3 linked regions of the Elephas maximus indicus genome follow. The protein of the gene in region 1 interacts with the protein of each later gene in a biochemical or structural test. Links are inferred from orthologs where the notes say so. Each region holds a gene or a part of one and is shown on either strand. Other genes may lie near its edges. The genes, in order: PBX1, HOXB1 and PKNOX1.

Region 1 (7,862 bases):
CCTCTGTTGTGACATGACCATCTTCCTTGTCTCTCGGTGCCTTTTCTCCTCTCTTACAAGGACACCACTCAAATCGGATTAGGGCCTGCTCGACTCCAGTGTGACCTCATGTTAATTTCATTGGTAACCTCATCAAAGATCTTGTTTCCCATCAAAGTCACATTCACAGGTACCAGGGGTTAGGACTTCAACATATCTTTTTGGGGACACAATGAAGGTCTGCCTAATGAGGCAAGGAAAGAGGAACGGGAAGTGGTGGGGGGGGGAGGGCAGATCTCTGTGAGCAGGACAGAGAAGGTAGGACAGAAGAAAAGGAAGAGAGAGTGGAAAAGTGGAAAAAAAGCAAGGTGAAAAGGGCAAGAGAAAAGCTGAAAGAGAAAGACAAGGATCCTTGGGCAGAGTAGATGCCATCCACTGTCTCAGGTACTGTCTTTGGTTCCTAGGCCTGGGTCTGGCAGAGGAGACTTTCTTTTCCCACATTTAAGTACAGAAGTTACAGAAACCTGGAGGCCAATTAAAATACAATTATAAAGATACACAGAAGAACGCCTGGTTAGATGATCTAAGACTGTGTGGTAGTGAATTTATTTCTGTGAGCATGTTGGGAGACCCATCTGTTGGCAACCAATAGAGGAAAGGAGTAGGATCCTTGTTCATTCCCCTTGCATTCCTCCTCTTTGTCCCTTAATGAAGATGAATACATGACCTAGTGGGCTTTTAACGATGTTTGGAAAAGAATCCTCAGAGTAAACCAGACACTCGACATAGAGGTAAACCCAGTTTGATGACTTTGTAGGCATAGTAGAATAATGTCAGATTGAGAACTGCTTTGCTAGTTGGTCAAGTTTTGATAGTGACGCATGTCTTTAAAGCCTGACTCAGTGGCCTTCAGTTATTAGTCTGAAGAACTGCAGCAGGAATATGGCACCATTCATTCTTTTAGCATGTATTTGTTAAACATCTACTACAAAGAAGGCACTGCTGAGATGTGGAAGGTGCATTATCCATCCCTTGTCACGACCCGTCACATATGGAAACTGCATGTGTAAGTTTCTCCTCAGACCTTACTTTCATGAGTTTCTTCATGTAAATAGAAGGTCCTAGTTTTCATTCTGTTTCACCCGTGGTAGTTTCTTCCCTTGATTTCCTTAATTCTGTGTAATGTATTAAAAATAGGAACATTTTTACGTCCACAGTTTGTCAAGTAATTCAACTACTAGGAGCCTTGGTTTCTTCGTCTGCAAAATGGGAGATTATAAACTCACAGGGAAGTTGTTAAAATTAAGTGCTAATGTACATAGAATGCCTGACACCCAATCAGCACTCAACAAATTGTACCTGTAACTACAATTATTATTCTGTTAATGCTGCCACATTCTTCTCAGCCAAGCTTAAAAACTCTTTATTCTTTCCATCCACATAAAATCAATTGCTGTGTTTTCTGGTTCTGCCTTGAAAATGATCCGCATAATGTGCTCTCTTTTCCATTTACACTGCCACCATCTTAATTTGCCATCCTATTTCACCTTCCCTTCCCAAACCATTTGGTATTGGGCAACCAGATAATTCTCCCTGAAATAAGATAAACAAACAATCTCAGTGGCTCTCCAGTGTCCCACCAAATAAGGCACAGACTCTGCTGTTCAAGGTTCTTGCGATAAGACCTTTCTAATATCATAACCATTGCAGCCCAAAAGAATCTGTTTCTGTCACATCGGTTAACCCTGCCTGCCAGAGCCAACTCATCGTTCAGATCTACCTCAAAGCCCACCTCTTATCACCTGAGCGGAGTTGCTCCCTTCTCTAATCCTTTCTAGGGTTTCCAGACGGTGGTGTCACTTCTATAGCATTTATTATATATATTGAAACTTATTTGGTTAAACGCACCAAACCAAAAACCAAACCCAGTGCCCTCGAGTGAACTCCGACTCATAGTGACTGTACAGGACAGAGTAGGATCGCCCCACAGATTATTCACGGAGGGCTGGCAGATTCGAACTGCCAACCCTTTGGTTAGAAGCTGTAGCACTTAGCCACTATGCCACCAGTGTTTCCGATTAAACGCACAGCTTAAGTTAGTAAAGAGCCTTGAACATAATAACATTATACTTAACCATAGTACCAAAAACCAAAACCAAACCCACTGCCGTCGAGTCGATTTGGACTCATAGGGACCTTATAGGACACAGTAGAACTGCCCCGTAGAGTTTCCAGGGAGCGCCTGGCGGATTTGAACTGCTGACCTCTTGGTTAGCAGCCATAGCACTTAACTACTATGCCACCAGGGTTTCCTAACCATAGTAAGTACTCAATAAATGTTTATTATTGGTGTTATTGTTGTGTGTACTTCTTATTTGCCTACAAAAATGTTCCTATATGACTTTGTATTGATGGTACCTTTTCTAATGCTTTATCTTTTGAGCTTTTGTTAGGCTCACAGTTAGAATTACTTGCTCACAAAGGGATTTCTTATAGGCCCTGGGCTGATTTTGTTTCGTGCTTTAAGATGTGATAACTTCCATTGCTCCAAGGGATATCCTAACTCAAGCTGTGATACGTAATTGGAGGATATAGTTTAGAGCTCAACTTTTGATCAGTGTTGATAAAACAAACAAGTTACAAGTTGGGGTATGCACGTGAATAGAACAGTTGTTATTAAGTAATAGGACATTGTAATTACAATTAATGCTCACTATTGCATGCCCTCATAGGAAGAACTGCCAAGTAGCTTGTTAAGAATTGCTTCAAAATGCTTTCTTAAGTGCTGCTTATCTTGCCAAACTTGTTTTGCCTAAAGATTGGGAAGGAGGCTGGATTGACGAAAACAATAACATTTTACTTGGGAACTGGAAAGCGCCTGGCAAGACTGCCCTCCATTTTGCAGATTGGGATCACTGAGGTTTGCAGCGGCTCAATGCATTTCCTTTTGCTATGCTGCTATCCAGGAAGAGGGCTGGCAACACACTAGAGTATTCTCTATTCCAAAATTTGCTGGGCTTTTCCTGCTTAACTGGTCCGCTGTATTTTATCTCATGGACATTATGACTGCGTACCCAGTCGGATTCCCCATCTGGCCTGCTTTGCTAATAAAAAAATTGGAAGAAAATCTGTGGTCCACCTAGAGCTACTGTATAGGACTTTAGCTACGAGTTTATTACCTGTTTTCCTGATTCCATTTTATTCTTTATTCTTTCCCACCCATTTTTAGTTTGAGTCATCCTGTTTAAATAAGTATCCTCCGAGTTCTTGGAAGGCGGAGGCGGTTAAGCACTCCTCTACTAACAGAGAGGCAGGTGGTTCAAACGCACGAAAATGCGCTTCAGCGGCCAGTGCAGTTCTAACCCGCAGCACAAGGGGTCGCCAGGAGTCGGAATCTATAGCAACTGGCTTGGTTTTTCAGTTTTGGAAGCATCTTACGTCTCTTCTCCAACAAGAGGGGCAATACATAGAACTAATATTTACACTATTCACACTTCCATTAGACCGAGGCAGGTTTGATAGTGGAAACACCATGCTTTTGGAGAGAACCACGAATTCAGTAACTCTAGAAACTTGGACAAGTTATTTTATTCGACCTTTCTGGGTTTCCTCTATGTAGAATGGAAATACTAAGCCATAAGTCACAGAAAAAATGTGTTGGGGATTAAATAAGATAATGCATGTAAATTACTCGGTGCATAGTAGGCATTCAATAAATGTCAGTTCCCTTCTTCTCTCAGTTAATAATGCTTATTAAACTATATTAAAAACTAAAACCAGACTGTGATAATGCATTTCCTTATGAAGTATTTAAGCCAAATAACTAATTTCCCCCAGGCGGGAGAGAAATGTTGAATTAGTTTCATTTCTGAACTTATTTCTTAATCTCCTTTTCTTCAGCATTATTTAGTTCCATAGTCCATAATTAGTTTTCATGCAACGAAAATGTCACAGTTCAGTATTCCTTTTAACTTCACTGCGACAGTTGTTTTTTAATCTATTATATCTGCTGTTCGTTAGAAATCACTATTAATTATATTATCAGTTCCATTCGTTTTCATAACTACTTCGTGCTGACAAACTTTTGCTTTCAACAATTTCCCTGAGTTCTAAGAATTTGAAAGACTCGAGTTTTAAATGGCCATGTTACAGCCAAAGAAAAACGCGGACAACCCCTGATCGGACTGTGTTCTTCCGTGTTCATGTTATTTATACATCTGCACTTAAGCGGAGGCACGTTCTCCTCAAGGACAGAAACGGAGAGAGGCAGGAGAGAAGAGTGGGAACTGACAAATGGAGCTGGAACGATGGCACCATGGCACCTTTAAGGACTGGAGACTTGGTATTAGCTCAGCCTCCTTCCCGGCCCACCTCTGAACTCTGATTGACAGGGCGCCGGGCGAGGAGGAGCTGAAGGAGGCTGGAGAGGAGGTGCGGCGAGGAAAGTAGGGGGAGGAGGGGCCCGTCTTTTCTCTGATGACCAATCAGAGCAGGGGGCGGGGCCCCGGGCGCCCTCCTCCCTCCTTCTCTCCCCCGCCCCCTGGCTTCCCCGCCCCCTCCCCCTTTTCTCTGCCCCCTCCCTTCTCCTCCTTCTCGTCCTCCTCCTCCTCCTCCTCCTCCTCCTCCTCTCAGGCTGTGGTTTTTCTGTATATGTTTCTGGAGTCCTGAGCCTGAGCTAAACAAAAGCAGGAGGCTGACGGGACTGCTGGAGTTTGCAGAGACACGGAGGAGAAGAGAGCCTGTGCTTTGCCTGCCGCCGCGGCTGGGGGAGATCTGGCTTTGGCAACAGCCCACCCCCTTTGAGATCACTCTGGCCCGGAGTGGGGGTGGGGGGCAGCGGGGGGCGGGGGGGAAAGTTTGCATTGCAATCCCCCTGCCTTGCTCTCCTTTCTCCCGATCAATGCATATTTGCAAAAGGATTAAGCCACAGATTTAAGCGACGGGAGCCCATTTCTGCCTTGCAAAGGAGACCGGACTGAAAAACCAAAAGCCAGCTCTGATTTCTTTTCGCCAAGTGGGAAGGTGGTTTATTTTTCTTGCTTTTTGGAGTCAACACCCTTCCCCACCAGCCCTTATCCCCACCCTCACCCCGCAACCCCTTCACGCCCCCCTCCCCCTCCCCACTCCCCATCCTCCCACCATCCTCTAAAGAGGCAAAGGGATTTTTTTTTTCTTTTCTTTTGGTCTTCTTTTTTCCCCCTTCCCTGTTTATCCTGAAAAGGATTTGAAGACAGCTTGAAGGATAAAAAGCCTTGGTGCTTCCCAGGAGCCGAGCCGAGGAGCAGAAGAGGAAGAGCCGGGGGCTGCCGTTGCCTTTGGAGATGGACGAGCAGCCCAGGCTGATGCATTCCCATGCTGGGGTCGGGATGGCCGGACACCCCGGCCTGTCCCAGCACTTGCAGGATGGGGCCGGAGGGACCGAGGGGGAGGGCGGGAGGAAGCAGGACATTGGAGACATTTTACAGCAAATTATGACCATCACAGACCAGAGTTTGGATGAGGCGCAGGCCAGGTGAGATGGAGGCTTTTCTTTTCCTTTCTTGGGGTTTGTTTTTCTCCGTCTCGCAGGGGGAAACAATGGGAACCGAGTCACCACAGCGCTTTCTTTTAAAATGTTATTTGTTTTCCCATTTTGGCGAGCAACTACATGGCGGAGGAGTAAAATTTAAAGGAGCGTTGTTATCGAAAGTGTAATCGCCCATGCCGTGATGTGGCTGTGCACGTATATATATCTCGTGTGTGTGAGTGTGAGAGAGAGTGAATATAGACATACTCATATATATCCACACTAACACTCAGCAACGACGAAAATGTTGCCAGCTGATCCGAAAGCGGCCCTCGGCACTTTTTTTACTGCCTTAAAAAAGTATCAGAGAGAGCAGAATTGTCAAGTTTTGAACCGCGTTCCGTGCGTTCTTGCTGAGGGACTCAGTCCCCTTACACAATAAAATGTCCCAAGAACACTTTATTTGCAGATTTAGTTGACTCCCTGCCTTAATTCAGCGACTTTTGGTTTTCTTTCTTGACTTATCACTCCAAAATTAATTTTTATTCTTTTTCCCTTCTGTCTCCCCCCTCGAAAGCAAAACACAACACAACAGGACATTTCTTTGTCAGTAGTTGTCAGCTATCCAGAGGGTATTTTGCATTCACTTAGAAAGAAAGAAAGAAAAGATAATTTTGCTTTTCGACATATTTGTTAGTTTCAGAAGACTCGGATGTTTAGTTAAACTTTATTATCTCTTAATTTGAGTTGGTTTACTAACCTTCGGTGACAGACAGTTTAGGTATGGTCCTTTAAAAAGGGGTGGGGGACAAAAATCAAGCATGCTCCTTACCCCATGCTTCCTTCAGGACCACTTAGACGGCAACTACATAGAAATGAAAGCATGTGTGAATTTTATGTATTTCAGTGCTATAGGCCCTGAAGACCTTCATTAAAGAAGGATAATAAAGAAGCTGTGTAGCTTCTCAACTTAATCTAACCGCCTGATCTGCAGTTCTCTATTCTAGGACTTTACAGTAAATTCCCTTTGAAAATAACACAGAGGCTAAATAGCAACCTAATAACAGCCTGCTGAAGGCTGGTCTGGAAAGAAAGAATTTTAAAAATCTAATGATCATATATGTCTCCATAATTATCTGCTTTGTTAAATCTCAGAAATGTTCCTTTTAAATCTTTCAAACGTATATACACAATTCCTATACCTCAAATGACTTATTTATGTGGAGAAGATATCATTATATGTATTTGTGTCTAAGGGAAAGAGGAATTTGAATTGAGAAAATGAGAAGGAGCAGCTAAAAGCCTGGATGCTATGAATTAGTCTTATTTTAGCGGCAAGCACATGCAACATGTAAACTCAAAAGTACTGAGGTTTACGGGTACTTGAAAACTTGGAAATGTTCAAAGATTTGACCTGTTCTAAATTTTTTAAAAAATGGGGAAAAGTTTTCAAAATGTAATAGGTGTTCTTTTTGATTTTTATTGTTTGAGGAAAAGCTAATAGGTATGCTAAGTAGAAGATTTCCCACTGCCAATTCTCTTTTGAATTGGAACAGATTTCTCCATTACATTGTTCTAGAAAAATACACTCAGACACACCAGTAAACTGGTTTAATAATAAGTTTGTGGAGTGGCAAAGGGCCAGGGGGAATGGATAGCCACCACTTTTCTGATGTTTAGTCCCACTCCTTTTTGTGAAATCGAGGCCAACTCTGGCTTGGTGGATTCCCCCTTTTCATGGCCTCGGTGCTGAAAGAGATGGAACACAATTTTGGAATGAGAAAATTTTCCCTTTTTCCTCTCTAACCCTGTTTGTGTGCTGTGGAAATGTAATATTTCTATAAAGCCATACGGAAATTTTTGTTTGCACTTGGGACTGTGTATAAGAATACAGTTAATAAAAACTATTTTTGAAGATCCAAAAAGAGGTCCTTAGTACATTCAAGAAGTCTTTTCCCCTCTTTCTGTCGCCCCACATTGAGAACTGACCAAATGACCACCCAGCTTTCTTTTGGCTTAAACAATGATGTAACTACTTAGCCAATACTGTGTCCTTTTCTACTTTTCCCAGTCACATCTTCTGAATTTACTAAGGAAACCATTAATATTTTAGATACAATGTATATGTTCATTTCTACAGTGTCTTGAATTTTGAGCTTGTTACTCCTTTGCCTGCTTCTGGTTTCTGTTCTTCATGAGCATAGGTGTCTATTTTTTAACTTTCAAAGGAATTAAAAAAGAATTGCTTGTGTTTAAAATGCCAGGGTTTTCTATTTATCCCCGCACATTAATTTTAGTGAATAGAATTGCCTTAACTAATGGCTGATATCATCAGTATTTTGTTTCCAAAACGATCTTCTTCTGCGAAATGATTCTG
Region 2 (6,581 bases), on another chromosome or scaffold:
TTCCACAGGCAGTAGTGAGGCAGATAGATATTTTGTGCCTGAAAGAAACCCAACAAACTGCTTCCTTCTCAGAGGAGAGAGTGAAAAGCAAAGAAGCCCCATTAAAACCTCCTCATACTCCCAAAGAAACAGAAAAATCACAGTTTGGACAAGTCATTCTGCTTCAAATTCAGGTGGATCAGTGTTCAATAAGGTTTCTAAAGTGGGTATTTTGGCCACAAACTATCCCATTTGGATAAGCCCAATTAAGTAGAAAATTATTTCAATTATTTGTGCCACTCTAATCTTTCCTTTTAAAAAGTGGTCCAATTCTCTGACTTATCTTTTACTCCAGATAAAAATTTACATCCTGTTGATCTATCTGGATCACAGAAGTTAAGTTCAATCCCTACCCCTGGGAAGGACGGTTGCTAAGCAAAAGTCTTCAAAGAAGGAGAGACAACATCTTCCCTAGAAAACGTTCCCCAAATATTTGGAAAAAACCAGGTTGTTTCTAATATGTAATCTCAAAACTTTCAGCTGCAATTTGAAATAGTTTAGGTTCTTTTATAGATATAAAATACTAGGCTTCAGTTTTCAAAATACTCTTTAGCATAGAAGAAAACCCTTTGTCAAAACAGTCAACTTTCTCAATTCACAATTAAATTTGCATTTGATAAAGTACATATTGTAAAATATATAGTGATATGTTACATGAAAATATAGCACATATGCTATTCATCTACTACATGTTTCCGTATTTTAATATGTTAGTTATATTTTTTAAAAAACAGAAGACTGACTCATACTGTTTCAGAATGTGCATGTAATGTTACCATACATTCATTAAGTCCTCTGTGGTTTATATTTTTTATTTGTTTTAATTCTACTAGTAATGTAGTGTGGAAACCCTGGTGGTGTTGTGGTTAAGTTCTACAGTTCCTGACCAAAAGCTCAGCAGTTCAAATCCACCAGGCGCTCCTTAGAAACTCTATGGGGCAGTTCTACTCTGTCCTATAGGGTCGCTACGAGTTGGAATCAACTTGATGGCAAAGGGTTTTTTTTTGTTGTTGTTGTTGTTAGTAATGTGGTGAAGTAAGTAGTATTACACCAATTTTATAGAAGAGGAGGCTGAGACTCAGAGAAGCCAGGAAACTTGTCCAGAGTCATAGGGCTAAGAAATGGCCAAACAAGGACTTGAACCCAAGTATTCTGGCCTGAAACCTAGTACTCTTCTCATTACAATGTGTACCACCCACAGTCTAAGGTTCTTTATTAGATTAATGATAGTTCAATTAACTTGCATTAAATGAAACACCACTGAACTCACACACCCCCCATCCCCAACAACAATAAGAATCCATCCTCTTATAGAGAAAATTTGTAACCCTGAATATCTTTTTAGCTCTTAAGCGTCAACGTTTGCTCTTGGGCTTGGCCTTCAAATGTATCCCAGAGATATGGATTGAGATCAGTAAGGCAGAGACACTTAAAGGCCTAATGAAAGATTCATATTGCTCCTGCCAACTCCTAGCTGAGGCAGCTTCTACAGAGAGAGCCAGAATCTGAGGTATAACTTCTAATATACCCAACTCTGGTTAAAAAGAGTTCCCTTACTTGTATTCTCCGTGTGGTAAGGACCAGCAACCCTCAAAGATAATTTCAGTTCTAAACATGTCGATGTTCAGCTAGCTCCTCTACACATCAAAGCAGATCATACAAACCAGGAAATCAATTTTATTTCACTTTCATCTCCCTGATGAATTTAGTTTGTTTAACCAGAAAATCCTGTAGCTTATAGGTTACTCCAGATGTGGATTGCTTCATCTTTTTTTTTTTTTTTGCACTCAGTCATGAATTTAGCAAGAAATACAGGCTCCATAGACTCTCCAGGCCAGAGGCCAGAGAAGCTTCTTTTAAGGAGGAAGAAACTCAGGTATCTAGGAAAGCACGTTGCTTGATTCCTCCCAGTCCTTTCTGCTGGGGCTGAGAGAGCCAGTAGGAACTCTAGAAAGTTCTAATATATCTGCTACAGAAGGGAAGGTGGCAAGACTCAAGGATGAATTGTAGAGCATGGCAAATTTAGAGAACTGAGGCCAAAGCAGTCACTACAATTGGCAGTATGACTTGAGGAACTTTTGCCCCACCCTTTTCTTGACTATTTCTGTTATTAGGGGGACTGAATTTCCCCAAGTCTTAGATAGATTTATGCTGTTTTATTAAAGTGATTTGGAATTTACCTCCTTTGGGTCTCACATTGATCCCTTTATTTGGAGGGCAAGGGATGAGGTGGAGTAGGTGCTGCCTGGACTGAGGGAATTGTGGAAAGTGACGAAATCTAAAGTCTCTCAGAAGCAGGGCAGCCAGATCAGATATAGGCCTAGCTCAGGTTTGGGGTTAGAAGAGAAACACTAATACTCTACCCACTTAATCTCTAAAAAAAAATCTCTAGCCTCTCTTTAATATCCCCAAAGGTCTCAGCCTGTATGGAGGACATCTTAAAGTAAGATTAAGAAGCTGGGAGCATCTATAAACTCAAAAAGGAGTAATAGAAAGAAATATACTTTTCTAAGCTCAATATTCCTTTTCTCTTCAATCCTTCTGCAGACCACCTCTCCCTCCCATCTCAATTCTCCTTTCCTTTGTCTACCCTCTTCCCTTTGGCAGTGAACATTCTCTCACCCTCCCCCATTGCATCTCTCTCTTAAAGAAGTTACCAGCTGGTTCTTCCACCCCCGTCTTGTCTGGGTCTGCAGCAGAGTCTGAAGCAAAGGATGGGTGAGAAGGGGGAGGGGGCAGGGGTCTTGTGAAATGCTTTGAGGTCTTTCATAATTGGGAGCTAAGCAGGGCTCACAGTTACTAGAGAAGGGAAAGGCAGTGTGATAAAGACAGGAAACGGGAGAGGCAACTATAGAGAAGGACAGGCAAAAATGAGGGAGAATGAGAGACAGAAAGATGGAGAGACACAAAGACAAAGAGATAATTTTGGGGTCCCTTGCAGAGAGATAAGTATTCACCCTGCCTTTTTTAGGATGGTGAAACCTGAGAAGTTTTGAGGGTTCTCTCTGGACCTGTCCCACCTGCTTCCCCTTCCTCTCCTGAGCTCAATTGTTTACAGAGATCACTCCCTGAACTCTTGCCCTCCTGGACTTGCCCTAGCCCCGGCCCCAGGCCTCTGGCCACGCAGACACCCTGACAGGTTACAAATGAGTGTGGGTGTTGGATTGCACCAAGCTCTTGTCTGAGGCATCTGTAGGAGGAGAATCAATGGGCTTCTAGTCTAGTTCCATCCAGGGTCTGAAAGAGTGAAGGAGGTACTTCCTGTTCCCCTGACCCCAAAACTTAGCCCAACAGACATACAGAGCAGAAAGGGGTGACTGAGACCCCACTCTTGAACCTTAGAATTCAGAGTCTCAGGACTTCCACACTAATTTTTCCAATTTGCTGAGCAAACTCTCCTTATCAATTCTAGAAAATTAACTGAAAATAAGAATAATCTTTTAAGACTTAACTGGCATGGAGTTTATGGATTTGAGGTTTGGGTTTTTTTTTTTTGGAAGGAAATAGAGGTAGTGCTGGAGAGAGGAATAGGATGGAGCCAGAAGAATCCAGGGTCTACACTAGTTTTAAACACTTCAGAAATAGAATAAAAATCTCCCTCTGCTTCCTCCCCCTGAAAAACACCTAGCTCTGTGCTCATTGTAGCTCTCTAGAGAGATATAGGGAGTTATTTAAGTCTGAGTGAGTGAGCCAGCTACAGCTATGGATGGCTAGAGAGAGGATAAATATATCTAGAGAGATGAGTTGATGGATAGGTAGGGAACGAATATAAACATGGAGAGAGATGGACGAATGGAGAGATAGATTGAGACAGAGAGAATATAAAGAGAGGCTGAGGGAGAGAAATGGATGTATGAATGAGAAGAGAGTGTTTATGTGGAGAGATGGAGAGAGGAATGGGATGTTTCTCATCCTCCTCATAGTCCTGCCTTGCTCGCTAAAATGTCAGCTTCCCACCCATACTTAATGAATTCTTCATCTAGATTCTAGACTCTGCCTCACACCCTTAGGCGCCTTTGCCCTCCCCCCACCCACACAGTCATCCATTTGGCCCAAGATAACATACTTCACCCAGCAGTCCTAGCACATCACCCCAAGACAAATTGGTAGAAAGAAGCACAGAATGAGAGTTCTGGGCAAAGTAAAGAAGGCTGGATTCCCTACTTCCAGGTTTACAGCCTTGGGGAGAAGGCTCATTTGGAAGCTGGGAAGAGTGGGGGCCAGCTGGATTGAATTTGTCCAAATCTAATAACCCAGGAGCCTCTTGAAGGCTTTGGGGGTTGGGAGGAGAGGAAAGTCTTGAATATTCTTCTAACTTTTCCCCCCTCTCCCTCTGGTCCCTTCTTTCCAAAAGTCTTTGAAGAAAGATGTTTTTGACGCTTCCATGTCGCTCTCAGATGGATGGGCTGCGGGTGATTGAAGTGTCTTTGTCATGCTAATGCTTGGGGGGTGATGGATGGGCGCTGGGGCTGCCAAACTCTGGCCCACTGCGCCCATTGGCCTGGGAGAGATCACATGCGCCCCCCCCCCCCACCTTCCTAGAGGATCGCTGGCCCAGGCGAGCTGGGCCGGGCCATGGATGCAAGCCTCGGCTCTGTGACATACTGCGGAAAGGTTGTAGGGCAAGAGGGTATCTCCCCCAAACGGGCCGACCCTCCTGCGGCCTCGACGCATGGACTATAATAGAATGAACTCCTACTTAGAGTACCCACTCTGTAACCGGGGACCCAGCGCCTACAGCGCCCACAACGCCCCTACCTCCTTTCCCCCTTGTTCGGCTCCGGCCGTTGACAACTACGCAGGCGAGGCCCGCTATGGCGGGGGGCTGCCCAACCCAGTGCTCCAGCAGAACCCTGGCTACCCGACGCAACAGCCGCCTTCAGCGCTGGGGGTGCCCTTCGCCAGCTCCGCGCCCTCGGGATACGCCCCAGCCGCCTGCAGTCCCAGCTATGGGCCTTCTCAGTACTACCCTTTGAGCCATCCTGAAGGAGATGGAGGCTACTTTCACCCCTCAAGCTACGGGGCCCAGCTGGGGGGCTTGTCCGACGGCTACGGAGCCGGGGAAGCTGGCCTAGGGCCTTACCCTCCGCCGCAGCCCCCTTACGGGAACGAGCAGACTGCGAGCTTTGCTCCGGCCTATGCTGATGTCCTCTCCGAGGACAAGCAGCGGCCCTGCGCATCAGAACCCAGCACCCCCACGGCCCGGACCTTCGACTGGATGAAGGTCAAGAGGAATCCACCCAAGACAGGTAGGGCTCGGGTGTGGCCGTCCCTCCCAGGGGCCCAAAGCCGCTTCACTGCCCCTGCACTGAAGTGTCCTGGGCCAGGGCTGGGCACTTCCCTCTGTACCTCCCAGCTAGAGGCAGGTAAGAGCATTATGGAGCATCTTAGGTCAGGTGGGGTTCCCTCCACTTAGTGAGTGCCGGGTCACCCCCAAGAGTAAGTCTACACTTCCTGATCTGTGAGCCCCGCACAAGCCCAGGACCTGGTGCATCTGGGATGGGGGTGGGGGATGGAAGTGTGGGGTTAGTTGCTCTAGATTTGGAGATTGGGGGAGGTTGGTTGCCTGGTGATCCCTGAGAACTTTGAAAGCTGGATTTGGACAGAGTGATGAATGGAGGTGCAGAGCTGGCCCGGGAGAAGGGGAGGGGAAGGAGATAGAGGTGAGAAAAATGACGTGGCCCTTCTCCCCGCCCCGTCCCTAGCAAAGGTGTCGGAGTTGGGCCTGGGAGCACCCGGCGGCCTCCGCACTAACTTCACTACGCGGCAGCTAACCGAGCTGGAGAAGGAGTTCCACTTCAACAAGTACTTGAGCCGGGCCCGGAGGGTAGAAATCGCCGCCACCCTAGAGCTCAACGAGACGCAGGTCAAGATTTGGTTCCAGAACCGCCGCATGAAGCAGAAGAAGCGAGAGAGGGAGGGAGGCCGGGCGCCCTCAGCCCCACCAGGCTGCCTCAAAGAGGTGGCTGGAGACGCCTCGGACCAGTCGGCATGCACCTCCCCAGAAGCCTCACCCAGCTCCGTCACCTCCTGAACTAAAACTTCTAACCCAACGGGGCCTCCTGGCACTCAAGCACCCCAGTCCAGCCCTTCTCTTTGGCTCTCCCCAACTCCAGACCTCGGCTTCACCGACCCATCAATTCTCCTCAAGGCTAGGGGCGCCAGTTTAGAGCTGCCCTTGTGGGGAGGGGTGTAACTGTTCTCTGTTCTGGGCCGGGAGCTGATGGCTAGGGACCCTACAAGACTAGAGGCAGGAGAGACCCCGACCCTGTCAAAGGTGGAGAGAAGGGCCTCTGCCTTTGATCTGGAGATCAGCTCTTGGTCATCACGTGGGTGGGGGTGGGAGATGGGAGTGGAGTCCACATCCTTGTGGATTCTCCTTTCCTTTCTAACTTCCGTTTATTCAGTTCAGTGCCTTTGAGCTTTGAGGACTTTTGCAGCGAACTCCTATCCTACTAACCTCCCCTTGGGACAGCGGGAAAGCTCTGAATTTTCTTTGGGGAGAGGAGGTGTTTGGGTACAGGTAGATTATTACCAGTGCT
Region 3 (8,012 bases), on another chromosome or scaffold:
AGCACAGCTCCCCAGTGGACTGAGGACCATTCCTTGGAGTGGGTGGACATGGGTGGAATGTGGCAACCAGTCATGAAGCACAGCTCCCCAGTGGACTGAGGACCATCCCTTGGTGTGGGTGGACATGGGTGGAACATGGTGACCAGTCATGAAGCACAGCTCCCCAGTGGACTGAGGACCATCCTCACCTGTGGGTGAGTAAGGAGCACAATGAGAATTCTTGAACCACAGGATCCGGGCCATTTGACTGGACCAGAGCTCAGGCCCTATGATTCCCCTGACAATTCCTCCAGCCAGCTGTGTTTCTAGGTTAGGATTTTCTCAACAACTAAACCCAGATTTCACAGTGTAAGGAAATTTAGGACAAGCAAAAAGGAATACTGAGCATCTCCAATGGGAAACTATACATTCTTGAGAACTTGCCCTTTTAGGTTATCTGATTCGAACTTTTCATTAACTTTGAGCTATTGTACAATCTATGAATTGTAGAGAACTGCCTTAGTCATCTTAATCATCTAGTGCTGCTATAACAGAAATACCACAAGTGGATGGCTTTACCAAAGAGAAATTTATTCTCTTAGAGTTTAGGAGGCTAGAAGTCCAAATTCAGGATACCAGCTCCAGAGCAAGGCTTTCTCTCTCTGTCGGCTCTGGAGGAAGGTCCTCGTCATCAATCTTCCCTTGGTCTAGGAGCTTATCCATGCAGAAACTCCAGGTCCAAAAGATGCATTCTGCTCCCAGAGCTGCTTTCTTGGTGGTATGAGGTCTCCCTGTCTCTCTGCTCACTCCTCTCTTTAATATCTCAAAAGAGATTGACTTAAGACACAACCTAATCATGTAGATTGGGTCCTGCCTCATTAACATAACTGCCCGCTAATCCCACCTCATTAACATCATAGTTGTAGGATTTACAACAGGTAGGAAAATCACATCAGACGACAAAACGGTAGACAATCACACAATACTGGGAATCACGGACTAGCCAAGTTGACACTTATTTTGGGGGGACACAATCCAATCCATAATAAAAACTAAGTGCAGCCACCGCCCATCTGTTAGTGGAGGCTTGTGTGTTGCTATGATGCTCAACCAGTTTCAGAGGAGCTTCCAGACTAAAATGGACTAGGAAGAAAGACCTGCTGATCTGCCTCCAAAAATCAGTCAGTGAAAACCGTGTGGGGCACAATGGTCCAATCCTGCTGTGCATGGGGTCACCATGAGTAAGTGGTCTACCTGGGGGCAGCTAACAATAACAATGACAATGCAAATGATTTTTTTCTATGGACATGTAAATGGATTCTGCACAGGGTAAGGACAACCTTCCCCACACCCTCCACTAGCTAGTTTTGCACAATTTGCAAGTTAGTTCCAGTACTCTTGTTCTTTGCATTTTCCTTCGAACTGGCTCTAACATCTTACCAGTTTTCCCATGTAAAGAATGAGTTCAATAAAACATTTGCCACATGTTCATCAGTGAATGACAGTAAAATTCCTACTCATGTGATGAGTAAAGTCTAGTGTTTATGCGTGCCTGCCTGCGTGTGTGTGCTGTTTCGGACAACAGACGGAACAAATAAGTTAGTTATACAGCGTTATAGATTGAATTGTATCCCCCAAGAAGATATGCTGAAGTCCTGATCTCCAGTACCTATGAATGTGACCCTATTTGGAAATAGGGTCTTCGAAGATGTGATCAGTTAGGTTAACATGAAGTCATACTGGAGTAAGGTGGGTCCTAATCCTCTATGAGTGATGCCCTTATAAAAGAATAGTAGAGACAGAAAGAAAGACACAAGAAGGATGGCCATGTGAAGACGGAGGCAGACATTTGGAGTGCTGCATCTATAAGCCAAGGAGTGCCTGGAGCTAACAGAAGTTAGGAAACCCTGGTGGGATAGTGGAAACCCTGTGGTACAGTGGTTAGGAGCTTGGCTGCTAACCTAAAGGTTGGCAGTTTGAATCCACCAGGCACTCCTTGGAAACTCTATGGGGCAGTACTACTCTGTCCTATAGGGTCGCTATGAGTCTGAATCAGCTCAATGGCAATAGGTTTGGGTTTTTTTTTTTGGTGGTATAGTAGCTAAGAGCTACAGTTGCTAACCAAAAGGTCAGCAGTTCAAATCTACCAGGTGCCCTGTGGAACCCCTATGGGGCTATCCTATAGGGTCATTATGACTCAGAATCCATTCGACGGCAATGGGTTTAACAGAAGTTGGGAGAGAGGTACGGAATAGATTCTTGCTCAGAGCCTCTGAGGAAACAACATGGCAGACACGGTGACTTGGACTTCAAGGCTTCAGAACTGAGATAATAAATTTCCATTCCTACAAGCCACCCAGTTTGTGGTACTTGCTAAGGCAGCCCGAGAAAACGAATACATGTAATAATTACACAGTATGTCAGAAGTACCTGTACAAACCCCATGGAGAAGAAAGCAGGCTGAGGGAATATTACGGATTGAATTGTGTCATTCCCCCCTCCCCCCGCCCCGCATTTGTGCTGTGAACCCTAAACCCTGTAGTGGTCCTACTTTGTTCTATAGCGTTGCTATGAGTCAGAATCCACTTGACCACACGGGTTTGGTTTGGTTTTTGTAGTGGTTATAATCCCATTTAGGAATGGACTTTCTTTGTTATGTTAATGAGGAAGTATTAGTGTAGGGCGTGTCTTAAATCAATCTCTTTGGAGATATAAAAGAGATTAAACAAGCAATCAAGAAATGGAGAGTGAAAGAGAATCTCAAAATAGACAAGGGACTTCCCCAAGCACTGACAGAAAGCCTTGCCCTAAAGCCAGCCCTCCCCCGCCCCCAAATTCAGACTACTAACCTCCTAAACTGTGAGAGAATAAATTTCTGTTTGTGAAAGCCATCCATCTGTGATATTTCTGTTATGGCAGCACTAGATGACTAAGACAGGGAGATAGGATTTATACTGGGGACTTAAATTTTAAACCTGAGAAACTGATATTGAAGCAAAGGCTTCAGGGAGGTGAGAGAGAGAACCATGTGGATATGTCTGGGAAGAGTGCTTCAGGCAGAGGGAACATGCAGTGCCAAGGTCCTGAGGCAAAGCAGGTCTGGTGTGATCAAGGAGCAGCAGGGGGACTGATTTGATGCGAGCCGGTGAATGAGGAAGGTAGTGTGGGCACTGAGGTCAGACAGGCATGGTGGCAGGGAAAGATCACATAGGGTTTGGGGGTTCCTGTGAAGACTCTGGAAACCTTGGTGGCATTGTAGTTAAGAGCTACTGCTGCTAACCAAAAGGTCTGCAGTTCAAATCCACCAGGTGCTCCTTGGAAACTCTGTGGGGCAGCTCTACTCTACAGGGTCGCTATGAGTCGGAATCAACTCGACGGCAATGGGTTAATGGTGAAGAGATGGGAGCTCTGCCTGGGGGGGAGGAGGGTTGTTGAGAGGAGTGGGATAGTCTAAGACATTTTTAAAAGGATCATGCCCTACTAATTGCTGGTGCCCCCCAACTGACCCAGGCGAACTGAAGCAGTTTAAGCATCAGCCAAACTGGCCATCTTGATAAGCAGAAACCTAGCCCTTATTTTTAAGAGGCTTTCTCATTCATTTTTCTTCCCTAAGCCTCTCCAAAAGGTCCCCAGGTGGGGCAAATGGTTTTCCCTCAACTGCTAACTTCAAGGTTGGCGGTTCAAACCCACCCAGTGCCACTGTGGAAGAAAGGGCTGGTGATCTGCTTCTGGAAAGATTACAGCCAAGAAAACCCTACGGGGCAGTTCTACTCTGTAACACACAGGGTCACCATGAGCTGGAATCGACTCTATGGCAATGCGTTTGTTTTTTGTGGTTGTTTTTAAGCCTCTCCAGATCCTAAGCATCTGTTAAGGACAAGCCATGCCCTTATTCCTGGAACTCTGCTAGGCCATCAACCTTGTGATGCAGCACATGGGGGTACTGGGCCTTGCTGGGGTCGCGGATGGCGCTTGCACTGGATTTTCAGCTCTGCACAGGGCCCGAGTCTTACCTCTCTTTTATGTCCTTACCAGCCTGAGGCAGGGTTGGGCAGTCAGTAAGGCTGGCACATTCCTGTGGTTTCCCTCAAAGTGCTCACCAGTGTTCCTGCCGGCTCTCACCTAGCATGCCACCTCCCCCACCATCTCTGGGGCCACATCTGCAGGAGATGATGGGGAGAAAAGAAAAGACGCAGCAGCCAGAGAAGGCTCCTGCTGGACATACCAGAGAGCTCTGAGGCCAGACGGTGGGGTGGACTGGGCCTGGGCCTCAGCTGGCCCCTGGGCTTTCCAGCAATAGTTTGTACTGGGTTCTGGGTGACTGAAGACACCCAGGTCCTGCGGTTCTGAAGCCCCCACTGCCTTAAAGGCTTGATGGGAACCAAATAAAAGCTACTGACGAGGGTGAGGCAGGTGATGGCAAGGCTGGGCTCACAGCACAAGGCCCCTTGCTTATGTAATGCTCTGCTGTTGCCATCTTGGAATTCATACTAATTTTCTGAACAAGGGACCTTGAATTTCCATTTTACGCTGCACCTTGACAGTTATGCCGCCAGTCTTGACTACTGAGTTTTCGGGGGGCCTCTCTGCGTATTCCACCTGCCTCACTCACCCTGGCCCCTGCTCTGCTACACTTTGTCCCTGAAAAATGCATTCTGCATGTGGTTTCATGGTGTCTGTGGACCCATGCAGCCATATTAAGAATCTTATCCCTGCTGTTCATGCCTGGTCCACCTCAGTCATCCTCCAGCAAGTTCCCCATTCTGGGCCCTGGAGGAGGTGGGTGCAAGCTGAGCTGCCCTTCTTTACCGCTGTGTGTGGACTTAATATCGAGGTTCGTCCTGGGTGGGCCGTTCTAGAAAACGTTCACAGTCAGACAAACAATGTGCATTCGCACTGCGGAAGGAGCTGCCCTTTCCTTAGGTTCCTGGAGTGCTGCGGCCCGTGGGAATGGTCGGTACCTTGTAAACAGGCTATGCTGGGAGGCTGGCCCCTGACAGTACAGGCGTCCTCTGCCAGCGGAGCTCCGATGTTACCTTGACACAAGGGCCTGCTGGGGTCTCCTGGGCGGAAAGGTACGCTGACACCATGTGGACTGGAGACCCGGCGGACCCGGGGGCGTGCCTGCAGTTTTCACCCAGCCCACGCCGCCAGTCTCGTGGCCGGAAGGAAGCCCTCTGCCGAGGGTCGATGGGGGCCACCCATGCCGCAGGTCCCATCGACAGCGACCCCAGACGCCGAGCACAGCCTGCTGCCACGGGTTTGGGGCGAAGCGGGGCGCGCGCAAGTGCGCTCCGCAGTTTCATCCTAGCTCGGTAGAGGGGCGCCCCGCAGACAAAGGGGGAGCCGCGCACCCTGGGCGGGCCCGGTGCCTGCAGGCCGAGGGGGTCGGCGGCTGCATCCTCGGATAGTACAGCCCGGGCCTCCCTGCCTGACCGCGGAACATGGTCTCGCCCAGCCCGGAGCTGCGATCCCAGAGCCTCTTCCAGTGGCAGGGACGGCGCGGCGGGGGCGTGGCGCGCGCCCGAGGCCACGCCTATCGCTGCATAGTCATAAGGCCAGGAATCCCTGCCTGCGGGGCGGGCCGCTCCTCGCGCCCGGGCGCGGCCAGCTGGGGGCGTAGCCGGGCTGGGCGCGAGGCGGGGCGGAGCCGGCAGCTGGCCCACCCCCGCGCCGGGCCCCGCCCCCAGCCCCCGCCTCGCAGGCCGCGGGGCGGGGCCCGTGGCCGGCAGGCTCCGCCCCCGCGCTGAATATTGATGTGGCGCGCGTCGGCGTCGCCCTCCTCCCATTGAGCGAGGCTGTGTCGCGTGGCCCAGCGTCGGCGTGACGGTTGGACGCGGGCGCGGCACTGCGGGTCCCGATTGCTGCAGCCGCTTGTCAGTGTGATGAAGATTGGCACCCAGGTAAGCTGTCACTCAACCGCTCCGCCGCCGCCGCCGCAGCTCTCCGCCGCCGCCATCCCTATCAATCACGCGGGCCGAGCCGCCGCAGCCGCCACCCCAGCGCCGCCGCCCGGGTAGCGGCGGGCCGGCGGTGCCGAGGGGAGCCCACCCTTGACCCGCCACCCCGGGCAGGGGGCGGGAGGGGGGCGCGCGGGCAGCGGGTGGGGGAGGGGAGCTGGCGGCTGCCGGGGCGGGGGCGCTGTCCGTCCGGAGCTGACGCGGGGTCGCGCCGAGTTTGTTTTTGAGTGTCGGTTTAGGCAGAAGGAAATTTCTGGAAGGCGCCGCCGCCGCCTCGCTGGGCCCGCTGCGAGGCGCGCGCTCTTAACCGTCCTTTTCGGAGCGCGGCGCGCGCCCCTGCGCGGGGCGGGGGCGGCAGTGGGGGGAGGGGAGCGGGCCGCGGGCGCGCGCGGGCCGGGAGGGGCGGGGCTGGGAACCGGAGGCGCGCGCTGGGCGGGGCGGGGCTTGAGGCCGCGGGGGCGCGCGCACCGGAAGAGTGGGGGGGCTAGGGCCGCGGGGGCGCGCGCCGGCCGCGGGGGCGCGCGCCGGCCGCGGGCGGAAACGGGCTGCGAGGTCCCCGGTTTCTGTCGCGGTCGCGGGGGGACAGGTGCACCAGGCGGCGGGTCTCCGGGGCTGCCGGCGGCGGGGCTCGCGCGGTCCGGGAGGCGGGAAAATGGCGGCTGCGCGCAGGCCCGGCTTGAGGCGGGGTCGGGCCGCGCTGAGGGGGCGTCCCCAGCCGCGCGGCGCTCGGAGGCGCCCTGGCCTCGTGGAGCTGCTCCGGGCTCGCGGGGCGCAGGCCGAGCCCTGCCGACCCGGGGTCCCACACGCCGGCCCCGCCGCGGGACCCGTGCTTCCGCGCCCCGCGACCGCGCAGCTGGTGAAGGGGCGACCCCAGGGTGACCGGGGGACCCGAGCGCCCACTTCCGAGGGGCCGGCGCGGCGTTCAGACGGCCTGCGCCTGGGCTGTTTGCGGAGGGCTGGGGTTCCCGTTTGTAGGGAATTAGTTAAAAGTGTATTGTTTATACTAAATGGCAATTTTGAAATAGATGGCTGGAAGTCTTTGGCGTGGTCTGGCCGCTCGCAGGATTTTCACATTCCTTTAGAGAAAATGAGTCACTTAAGAAAAATCAAGTCTGCTTTCTTTCCTCCTAGTGGCTCTGGAAATGCCCTATTTTGACAGTGGCTCTGAGACTTGACCCGTTAGGCCCTTCATTTGTCATGGTTGACTCATAAAATACGACTTAGAATTTATTGATAGAAGCGATGAGGGCAGAAGTTACAGATACTTGGGGGCTGTGTGTGCGCGCACCAGCTTGTACATAAACAAGTGGACATTCGATACATTTGATGGTGGACTTGCAACAATCCAGGCTATATTGGACATGTTAGGGCGTGAAGAGGAACTCTGGTTGTGCAGTGGTTAAGCGCTAGGCTGCTAACTGAAAGATTGGAGGTTCAAACCTACCGGAACCCACCATCCGCTCTGCGGGAGAAAGATGTGGCAGTCTGCTTCTGCAAAGATTACAGCCTGGGAGACCCTATGGGGCGGCTCTTCTCTGTCCCATAGGGTCCCTGTGAGTCAAAATCAATTGGATGGCAACTTTTTTTTTTTTTTTTCTTAAGGGCGTGATAATTTAGTTTTTTAGATAGTAAGAATTGGCTTTATGTAAAATTGACTTTCCTTAGGAAGTAGATACATTCCACTTTAGTGTGGGAAAAACAACAACGCATCTTAAGCATCATTTCATAGTTTTCCCTGGTATGTTGGAAAAGTGGACTTCACTAAGTATTACAGGGAAGCATTGAGGTGAAATGTAAAACTCTTTGGCAGAATAGTTATTGGTGATATTCTCGAGTTGTAGGTACATTGGTTTGGAAGACAGCTGACAGACTACTCAACCTTGCCTTTCATTGTTTTCCTTTCCCCTAATTTACTCCTCTGGCTGCCAGCTTGTAGCAGCACATCTAATTAGCATGGAGAATGGTACCTGGATCATCTAGTTACAATGTTTCATTGAATCTAAAATGTACCTTTTGATATGCCACTCAAAGTGCTCACACTTTTAACCCACACAGTGCTGTTTTAGCATAGCA

The links.
Region 2: the proteins of PBX1 (region 1) and HOXB1 are reported together in a solved structure, tested with the Homo sapiens proteins (2 studies listed by BioGRID and IntAct, with this or other methods). The link is inferred for Elephas maximus indicus from reciprocal best matches to the Homo sapiens genes PBX1 and HOXB1.
Region 3: the proteins of PBX1 (region 1) and PKNOX1 form a complex in vitro, tested with the Homo sapiens proteins (2 studies listed by BioGRID). The link is inferred for Elephas maximus indicus from reciprocal best matches to the Homo sapiens genes PBX1 and PKNOX1.

The regions. Positions count from the first base shown.
Region 1 is NC_064821.1:204,550,357-204,558,218, forward strand, and holds the start of PBX1 (pre-B-cell leukemia transcription factor 1), read left to right. Parts: upstream 1-4,815; 5' UTR 4,816-5,001; exon of another isoform or gene 5,002-5,200; 5' UTR 5,201-5,300; coding exon 5,301-5,491; intron 5,492-7,862. UniProt on the Homo sapiens protein: Transcription factor which binds the DNA sequence 5'-TGATTGAT-3' as part of a heterodimer with HOX proteins such as HOXA1, HOXA5, HOXB7 and HOXB8. Binds to the DNA sequence 5'-TGATTGAC-3' in complex with a nuclear factor which is not a class I HOX protein.
Region 2 is NC_064837.1:44,987,803-44,994,383, forward strand, and holds HOXB1 (homeobox protein Hox-B1), read left to right. Parts: upstream 1-4,711; coding exon 4,712-5,288; intron 5,289-5,744; coding exon 5,745-6,073; downstream 6,074-6,581. UniProt on the Homo sapiens protein: Sequence-specific transcription factor which is part of a developmental regulatory system that provides cells with specific positional identities on the anterior-posterior axis. Acts on the anterior body structures.
Region 3 is NC_064820.1:226,908,339-226,916,350, forward strand, and holds the start of PKNOX1 (homeobox protein PKNOX1), read left to right. Parts: upstream 1-4,996; 5' UTR 4,997-5,054; exon of another isoform or gene 5,055-5,509; intron 5,510-5,741; exon of another isoform or gene 5,742-5,882; intron 5,883-8,012. UniProt on the Homo sapiens protein: Activates transcription in the presence of PBX1A and HOXA1.